Drosophila melanogaster: one gene and its partner. The gene in region 1 interacts genetically with each later gene. Each region holds a gene or a part of one and is shown on either strand. Other genes may lie near its edges. The genes, in order: Rtca and Xbp1.

The links.
Region 2: of Rtca (region 1) and Xbp1, changing one suppresses a phenotype caused by changing the other (phenotypic suppression), as found in Drosophila melanogaster (one study listed by BioGRID).

The regions. Positions count from the first base shown.
Region 1 is NC_004354.4:2,070,126-2,075,403, forward strand, and holds Rtca (RNA 3'-terminal phosphate cyclase), read left to right. Parts: upstream 1-2,287; 5' UTR 2,288-2,600; intron 2,601-2,991; exon of another isoform or gene 2,992-3,008; 5' UTR 3,009-3,585; coding exon 3,586-4,671; 3' UTR 4,672-4,741; downstream 4,742-5,278. Other genes in the region: CG4199 (uncharacterized protein), read right to left, coding at 1,235-1,301; CG4045 (uncharacterized protein), read right to left, coding at 4,742-4,846, 4,913-5,014, 5,082-5,278. UniProt on the Drosophila melanogaster protein: Catalyzes the conversion of 3'-phosphate to a 2',3'-cyclic phosphodiester at the end of RNA.
Region 2 is NT_033778.4:21,141,848-21,146,481, forward strand, and holds Xbp1 (X box binding protein-1), read left to right. Parts: upstream 1-1,701; 5' UTR 1,702-2,029; coding exon 2,030-2,289; intron 2,290-2,353; coding exon 2,354-3,017; coding exon of another isoform or gene 3,018-3,613; 3' UTR 3,614-3,903; downstream 3,904-4,634. Other genes in the region: CG9406 (uncharacterized protein), read left to right, coding at 628-640, 699-936, 989-1,199, 1,252-1,350; Hmg-2 (high mobility group protein 2), read left to right, coding at 4,454-4,634.

The DNA of each region.
Region 1 (5,278 bases):
CTGATCGGAAATCAAACATTTCCATCGAAGCAGCAAACATGAAAAACAGCAAGTCATGAATTACCCAGCGAAACAGATGTAGGGACAACTTTTCCATCGAGTCGGTTAACTTCGACCCTGCACTGTACATTTGCCAATCTCTTTCAGTTCTCTCATCTAATTAGCAATGATTCGCCATGTTAATAACACAGCTGCGTTTTCCACACACACACGGACGCGTATACATGGGAGCAAACCAAACCGGTTGGCCTTGTCCAACTCAAGTGAGTCAAAAGCCAGGCCAAATAATAATAATAATAACAATTGCACGAGAACAAGTTTCACCGAAATATATAACTCACAAAATCGGGTATCACAGAAAAGGACGGACAGGCCGCAGCTAAGAGAACGTTCCGTCTGATATTAAGAGCTTGCCGGCAGTTGGCGAACGAATGAACTGGAGACCGCCGTTGGAGCAGCCAATTTAAGCGAACTGGGGCCTCATTGGAGAGCCCAAGAGAACGAATGCAAGACATGGCAATAGACAATAGGCAGGCACACAACACAGACGAAATTCCGATGGCGGTGACTAACCGCAGTGGTACAGTGGCCATTGCCTAACAGAGACACGCAAAGATACCCTGTAAGACTCAGAACAGGAAACTTCAGAGCGTCGCAACCATACATAGGAGCTCCTGTAACTCCATTCAAGGTGGTAAAGATGGCCATGCTATTGGATATCCACAGGGAAACTGTCGCTTTAGGGGAATTAGTACCCGGGATTAAGTATTCCCGCATCGATAGCTACTGTGGCAATGACGCAGCAGCAGTTCAAGCAAGTTGCGCCCTCCCGCCGTCCCTATCTCTTTGCCAATCTCTTGGACTTGTGCCGCTGAGACAATCATCTAGGCACCTACGCCCGGCCCGAAAACACCCATCTAATGCGGGTCATTCCCACTCTCCTAATCACAACTCCAAGCCATTTGGCCTCGTTTAGTTGGTAAAAGGAACACGGCACTGGTGGCAATCGGATCATCTACGACATTACCACGCACTTTTCGAATTGAAGTCGGAAAACGAAGGGATTGGTTTAAGTACATTTGGAACTTTTTTTTTGGGCAAGATGATCTTATTTTATTGGGAAGAAACCATTTGCGAGATTAGAAGTGGCGCAGTCAAATTGGAAATGCGACCTTGCCTTGTTGTTTGGCAATTGACCTTTCGAAAACTATTCATCTGTAAATCGTGCATTTACCTGTCGACTTCTCCTTTTTGGGAGTGCTGCCCGTGGTCTTGTACTCCTTGCAGTTGACGGAACCCATTGTGTTTAACAGGCGGTTGTTGATGTGGCTCGCAAAAGACGGGGCGTTGAGTATCCTCCAGGATTGGCTGGACGGGAGCTTGCGTATCCTCAGAAGGCCTTCAAAGGCTCGTTTCGTTTTGACCAAGCTCAGAGCTGTGCGAGGGGACTGCCACCTGAAAGTTGAGTGGCCAGTTTAGGAGCTTTACTTTTCACTTAATAACAATCAATCACTGTGCCAAAGCTCGTTATCAGTTAGTTAGTTCCCGCGTGTTAATCATTTCTATTTAATTATTCCTCCACAGCCTGAGTCATCAGCCGCAGATGGATGTGCTGAACTCCCCCAAACGTGTCCGAGATGCTGTTTTTTGCAGCACACACAACACACGTCGTTGTTTATTTGCGAATTGCTTTTAGTCGCCAATCATCACTCACCACTCTCCACAACAACACTAAACAAAACAAAAACAAAACAACTGGAATATCGCGTGGAAGGGAGGATGAGAGCCTGGGAGCGTGCAACAGGTCGGGGGTCCGCGTCTGTGCCGAGATAAGCGAAGTGGAGTCGAGTGGACCAGGAACGCTGCGAGAGAGCCGGGAGAGCAAGAGCCAATGCAATGCGAGGCACGTCTGGCGCGCGTGAACTGCGGACCGCGTATGGCGCGCAACTTCGTCGCTGGATTCGACTGGAACTGGAAGCTTCGTGCCTCCCCAACACACACGCACTTCTGGGCTCTGTGTGTGTCCGTGGACACAGGAACGGTCAAGATACTAGGAGCCAGCCCTACTGTGTAATCGCAACGCTCCCTGTTCAATGCATCTCTCATGTGTATAATGCGATTATAGATGAAACAAGCGCCAAGACTACCTAGACGAAACAAGAAAATTTCTTGGCAGGATAAACTACCTATGAGGTACCCAATGCAGAGCGCTGGAAACTATAACGCTGACCGCAGTTGTCAGCCTTTCCGACCATTCTCGTGTGTTCCACTAACAAAAACTTCGCGACCTTGCCGTCGCCGCACTTCACTTCGAAGCAATCTCCTCCACCAGCCTGTGGCCAGCACCAAGAAGTCGTAGAGGGTAACACATAGCTGGCCTTCTTCGCGATTCGGACCAATGCACTTGGCGACCAACATATGTACCTGTTGGCTGAGCTGAGCTAAGCCCATCGTGCCACAGTCAGTGCCGGCAGAATTGCATCACCGCCAGCGGAACTAGAACAAGAACACGAAATACCAGCGTTTTATTGCGGTTGCCATGACTCTTCGAGTGGAATAACCAGAACGATAAGTAAACCAAATTTTCCGTCACTGCCTTCGTAAGTAATTGGGAAATGGCTGTTCCTTAGACCTGTTGATACGGATAGTACCGAACAAATTGTTGATATCTCGCTATCTCGAGGTAAACATTGTATCTTTGGACACATTGTATTCTTGTCTTTGGTTAAGGAGTTCGAAAATAATGCTCTTAAGAGCGTACACATTCAATATCATTCTATACGCATGGAAGCCATGTCAGGTGTATTATGTCCTAAGCCCATTCCGTCAATGTCTGCTTGAGCGAATGTTGACACAGTCCAGTTATGCGGATAGGCTTATTTTTATCAGACCCAGGGAATGGGACTCTCAAAATACAGTTGAGCCTTAAAAACTCGAAGAGCATTTTCCAACGGAAAGTGGTTTCAATTAAATGTATTAGTTATTAGTTACTTTTTTCTTATTTGCAGCCCTCCTACTTTGGACACGGACAGGCAAAAAGGCCAGTCAAGCATTCCAGTGGAGAAGGAGGACCAAGCTAGCGATTGCCCAATTGCCAAGTGATTCGCCTTCGATGCCTCGGGCCAGTTAAACCACTGCTAAGCTGGACTAGAACAAGATACATAATTGCCTTCGCGATGGCACGTTGCAGATAAGTTAATCGCCTGAAGGCGGCACGTACGACCATGCGCCGGCGGACACTGCACACTTACACAGCCATCTCTAGTTAACTTTTAACTATTGCGCTGGTAATGTATTATTTTGTAAAAGTTCGCTTGTTTACGTCTGGCCAGTGCTGCCGGACCAGTTCGAATGGTGCGCGCCTTGAGTGGTTCCACAGTGGCAGGTGTTTGTTTCCAAGCAAACGCGAGCGTCGGGCACACTGCCCGGATCACAGTGTGCCGTCCCAATCGAGTGAAATGGAGCTGTTATTCTTAGCCCCTGTCATTGTGATATTTGATTGCTCCGATTGTTCTGACACACACTTGGCTGACAACCTGAGAGGAAACCAGACTGAAAATCCCTGAACATAAATAAATTGGGAAAATGGACGCGGAAAAAATGTTGGAGATCGACGGCTCCTACTTGGAGGGCGGCGGGCAGGCCCTGCGCAACGCCCTCAGCCTCAGCTGCATTTTGGGTAAACCGGTGCGCGTGGTAAAGATCCGGGCCAGCCGCCCGAGTCCTGGGCTCTCGCACCAGCACCTGCATGGGCTGAACCTCCTGCGGGACATAACCAATGCGGACGTGGTGGGAAACTACTTGCTCTCCTCCACAGTGGAGTTCACGCCGCGCACCATTTTGGACAACACGTATCGCGTGGAAACGCACACGGCGGCCAGCATTACTCTGATTTATCAGATGGCGCTCCCAGTACTTCTCTTTGCCGGACGCCCGTCCCGCCTGATCGTATCCGGGGGCACGAACGTCGACTTTGCGCCTCCGGTGGAATACATGCAGGAGGTGCTGCTGCCCAACCTAAAACACTTCGGGGTTAGTTTCGACCTGAAGGTGCAGCGGTACGGCTTCTATCCACGCGGCCAAGGCAGATGCCAGTTGGACGTGCAACCCGTGACCAAGCTGAATTCCGGAAAATTAGTGGCTTTCGGCCGCATCAAATCGGTCAGCGGAGTGGCCTACTGCGCCGGCCGCTTGCCGGTAAATATTGCTATTGACATGCAACAGACGGCTCAACGCGAGATACATCGTTTGTGGCCGTCCCAGCAGTGCAGCATCGAGCCGATTAAGCATTCACGCCAGAAGGCATTCCACAACGGAGCCGGCATCCTGATGACTGTCAACACGACCTCCGACGTTGTCCTAGGTGCTTCTGCATTGGGCAAAAAGAGGATCGACGGACACGTTCTCGGCTCAGAGGCGTCGTGCCAACTGGGCGACTACATGCGCAAACAGGTCTGCGTTGATGATTACATGCAGGACCAGCTCATCATCTACATGGCCCTGGCCGTGGGCCGCTCAACGATGCGCACAGGCAAGCTGACCAATCACACGCGCACCGCCATCAATGTAGCCGAGCAAATGACAGGGGTCAAGTTCGATGTGGCGATGGAGCCCGGCGGCCAGATGCTAGTCAGCTGCAAGGGCTTGGGACATGTGAACAAGTTGATTTAACAATCGATAGATCTCTTTACTCTAAGGAAACCTTAAATTAATGTCTACATATATAGAGAATATACGTGTCCTAAAGGCGCCGGAAAATGGCCAGAAAATGATCGCCCTTGTTTCGAACCACCTTAGCGCCCTCCTCGCTGCTTTGGTACAGCTTCGGGGTGATGGGATCAGCATTCTGTGGGTTTAAACGTAATGATTAATGTGTGACTTGGCTGCGTGATCTCGGTTTTGAACTACGTACGGCCTCCTCTTCGGTAAGACGCTCGTACAGCGGATGCTCCTCCATATGTGTCACTATCCACTTGTGCAAGTCCTCAACGTCCGTCATGGTGTACAACAGACCCTGGGTAAGCAGACTAAGCAGTAAGCAGACCGCATTTCGAGTACTTTCAGGAAACTGTTGGACTTACCCCCTTCCTGAGGATATAGGCATATTCGGAGAGTAGAGCCTGGTTGATAATACGCCACTTGTGCTTGGCGCGCTTGAAATGTGGGTCCGGGTAGAGGAAGAACATCTTCTCCAGCTGGCCCTTTACGAAGTAGTTGGGCAGATACTTCATGGCGTTGGTGCGTAAGCAGGCAATGTTCTGGTATGCACCCGTATCCG
Region 2 (4,634 bases), on another chromosome or scaffold:
TACACACCTGCGACGATATGTGAAACGAGTTGCTCGTTTTCCATTTAACGCTGCATTCAATTGCAATTCGATTTTCCCGCAACGCGAACCGCACTCCACGGAATATCGAAAACAAATGAAAACTGAGGTGGCGCGTTGAGTTGAGTTGGAAAACCTGTTGCTGCCAAACGACGCACACAGATGCAAATGCTCAGCGACAACAAGCAAATGCAGTCTATTTCGTCCTTTAAAAGGCACTGGAAAGTCTCGAACTTCACTGTTTGGGTAACATGAAATCTTTAGCTAAACGATTGTCTCAACTTTAATTGCAAATTAATGGGAAACAAATTAAAAACACGAAACGAAAAACAAAACAGAAAACAAAATAACGCGACGCTCAACACGACTGCTTCGCAGGCAGTTATCGACTGATGCTTATCGGTCGATATTCACCACACCTAGTATGACCACAGGGGCGATACCCTTTGCTTGGCGCCATTATCGATTTCCGATCGTTATTTTCAAATTCGAAATATAAACAGCAAACCTTTAATAATGCTTCAATCAGAAAACATATAAATCAGGAAAAAATAAATCGTATTTTAAAATTATCAGTTTATTTATTAAATTCTAAAGTATATACCCGCGATGGAAGTTGGTGGTAGGCATTACATAAAATGAGCATCGCACCTCCGCTTGATATCACTAACCTTTTGTAGTTACCCTAAACAACGAACTCGAGGAAAAGATTTCGGAAGCATTTTGCATATTTGATACTCATGGCGATAAGTATATTGATTCCCGCAATGTCGGCAACGTGCTCCGATTTTTAGGTTGCGCGCCCACCGAAAAAGAGGTCGAAGATGTCATTAAAGCCACCGATTCCGTCGACTATCCAGGCGAAGCCCATTTGGTGAAGTTCATGGAACACGTTTCCAAACTGCTGATGGATCGACAGTTATTCAATATACTTTAGGTTTGTTTAGCAACTAACGATATTTGTCCACAGAATGGAACCAGCCTCGTCGGAAAAGCTTCTCGAGGCCTTTGAGACCCTGGATCCAGAAAATAAAAAATATCTGACCAAGGAGTACTTCGGCAAATTAATGGCGGAGGAAGGAGAACCTTTCTCCGCTGAAGAATTGGATGCTATGTGGCCTGTGGCAATTGATCCCATTACTGGACACATTCCCTACACCTTCTACATAAATCAACTCAGGGTAAGATCGCATTTCCCAACTACTTTTGATTGGATTCATCTAAAATTTCCAGCACAAGCCTGATATCTATGAAATTGCCGAGGTTATCAAGGAGGAACTAGCACAAGCCGAAAAAGAAAAGGGCAAGAAACCACAACAACCACTGTTTTAGATGCCCCTTTAATCAAGCAATTGCAAATAACGCGGAAAATAAATTTATACATTTTATAACAAATAATTTCCTTTCTCGTTTTTACTGTTCCACATTGAGATATAGACGGTCACACTGCCATGCGCAATTCGAGATGGCATAGTCGTTGTTCTATGTTTGGATATTAAAATGAATTGTGTGAAAAATTTAAGGAACTATTTTTTGTTTTAAGATATTGCCTGAAATGTTACAATATATTTATTAAATCCAATAAAAAAAAATTTACAATACATTTAAGCGCTTTTACAAATCATCGTTGCTCTAAATTAACTGAATTTGTAATCGATAGCCCGATACGTGCTGCTCCATCCCTCATTACCCCAACTCTTCTAGAAAAACACGTCAGCTTTTCACAGCCATTCGGAAAAGAACACGTCAGCAGAAAGGAAAACTGGTCGGTCGATATTGCAAAGGTGGATGAGAAAATTGCGTGAGACGGAGCCAGAAAAGCCCGAGTCGGCGGCGATGAAGAGATTCAAACCAGCAGAGCGTCCGAGAAGCGCAGTCGAAGTTCATGAGACGACCTAAAACAAGCAAAAGTTAAAATACGCTCTTACAATGCAAATCTAAGTGGAAAGTCGCTTTTCACAATTGCACACAGCACACAGCAGTTTATCATTTAGCCCCGAACCAGTTAAACATGGCACCCACAGCAAACACAGTGCTAATTACCGTGCCGCGGACAGCAATCACATCGAATAATCTGCCCAAATTGCGGCCCGCCCCCCTTACGGCAGCTCTGCTGAAGGTGTCGGCCACGCCCTCCGCCTCGCCCACGCCCTCGAGTTCGGGATACGCATCCTCGTCGAACATGGATGACGATAACATGGCTGCATCCCAGCCCAAGGCCAAGAAGCGTCGCCTGGACCATCTAACCTGGGAGGAGAAAGTGCAAAGAAAGTAAGTCCACCCAACTTTTAACCAAATTTGAGCGCCTTATTTAACTGTTATTATCGAACAACAGGAAGCTAAAGAACCGTGTGGCCGCCCAGACATCGCGTGACCGCAAGAAGGCACGCATGGAGGAGATGGACTACGAGATCAAGGAGCTGACAGACAGAACGGAAATACTACAGAACAAGTGCGATAGCCTGCAGGCCATCAACGAGTCACTGCTGGCCAAGAACCACAAGCTGGACTCGGAGCTGGAGCTGCTGCGCCAAGAACTCGCCGAACTGAAGCAGCAACAGCAGCACAACACCAGATGCATCAGCCAATCCAACGCCAGCGCAGGCGCTGAGGGCTGTGCGTCCACCAACCTTGGATCTGCAGCATCCAAAGCTGACCCTCTGCCGCAGGGTATACAACAGGTGGACACACAGTCGTCAGCGCGTCTGCTGGCGGAGCAGCTGAAGAGCAGCAAGAGCCTGGCCTCACTCTGGAAAGTTGTGGCCCTCTGCCTACTCTACAAGACATGCTTGGCGTCGACGAAGAGTTCGACGTCAAGCGCCTCGAAGAGCTGGCCGAAAGTCTGCTCGCAGATATCACAGCAGACCTGGAAACAGGCGCTGGAGCGAGCAGCCCAGCTGCTGCCCAAGATGCAGGCAACGCAGAGCGATTGCCTGGACCAATGGTGGGGCCCGCAGCAGAGCGCTTGGAATCCGACGGGCATAGAGCTAATGGCCTGAATGTTGAGCAGGAACAGGAAACCGAGCACAAGGTCAGCCTAAATGTGCAGATGTTGAAGATAAATGGAAACCCACAGCATACCACAGCAGCGCCAGCCTCGAGAACAGCCACAATCACAGCGACAGCGGCCGCCTCGCAACTACAGGCCACTCCGGACACAGTGTACGGCACGTATGATGCCAAGACGAACTCGATCACCATCGTGATGGACGGGGATGCGGTGCCGGTGAACGAGGCCGTCGAGGAGATCTACTGTGACGGCGTCAGCGCTGGCGACGACTCAACGGACGTGATCATGAAGTGTCCGCCGCCAGCGACGTCTCCGTCACAGGTCTATCTCAACGTGATGAACGCCGTCGACAATTCGGACGACGAGGAAAGCTTCGATCCGATCGACCGATTCCTACGTCCGCGCGTTAAGGCGATCTCCCCGTTGGCCAAATCCCCCGCATTGTCTCTACACTCGGCCACCTCGGACCATGGATACGAGTCCATACTGGGCTCTCCCACATCCGTGGCTCTCACTCTGCCCGCAGATGAGGACGATTTCCCCTGGGAGAGCAACTTTGACGAGCTGTTTCCCAGTTTGATCTGAGTTTTTCAAGCTGAAAACTTCGTTCTGTCTCTCTTTTATTGTTAAGTTTGGCCGGCCGCCGTTTGTTTAAGTTTTTTAGTTGATAGGCTGTACATAAATTCATAATCGAAGGCTTTATATATGATACTGTAGTTAGAGCGCTAAGTTTAGCTGTAGGTTTCCATTTATATTTAACAATCTCTAACCACATAGGCTTATGATTACTCTTATATGTATGTATTGTGCTCAAAGAATTTGAAAAAAAAACATTTGACTAAAAAATATTCAAAATATAAACCAAACCAAACAACAAGCTCTTTGTTTTTGTTTACTCTAGGCGAAACAGAACTTTGAACTGCGTATGATAAATAGTTAATCACGCCACTTCTCTAGCATCACGCCACTTTTTTATGACGCAATTTCTGCGTAGATGATGGGACAGTTTTAGGTGTAAGCATATGAGTCATTTTGTTTTTATTAACCAAATATATATATATTACAAAAAGTGAGTTGAACTGACTGCAGATAATGCGGATAGGTGAAATAAAACCACAACTATGCTCTGAAATATATGCACCTTATTTATTAGTATATTATTCATTAATAAGACGAAATACAGCTCTGTTTTTCTCCAAACTGAACTAGGATTTAAACAAGATTTTGCTAAGCTCGAAAAATATATTTTTTAAAGAATATAAATAGAGCCACCCTAATGCGCCAGCAAAAGCGAATTTGTTTCGGAACTAGTTCGAAAAAGTTGTTTATAGACTTGAACCAGTTTTTGCTTACGAACCACATACCTGTGATTTTGCAGAAAGATAAACAATTTTTAAATGCAATAGAGTGTACGGTTAAACAGAAATGACGGAACCAACGAGCAAGACACCGGATGCGGTTCCGGAATCACCCGTATCACTGCCCATCGCCTCCCAATCCATGGATACGGCGACCATTGAAGATTTCGACGAGGACAAACCGGCCAAGGGAAAGAAGAAAGCCAAGAATCCAAAGGGTCGCCACTCGGATTCCGACATCGGCTCCG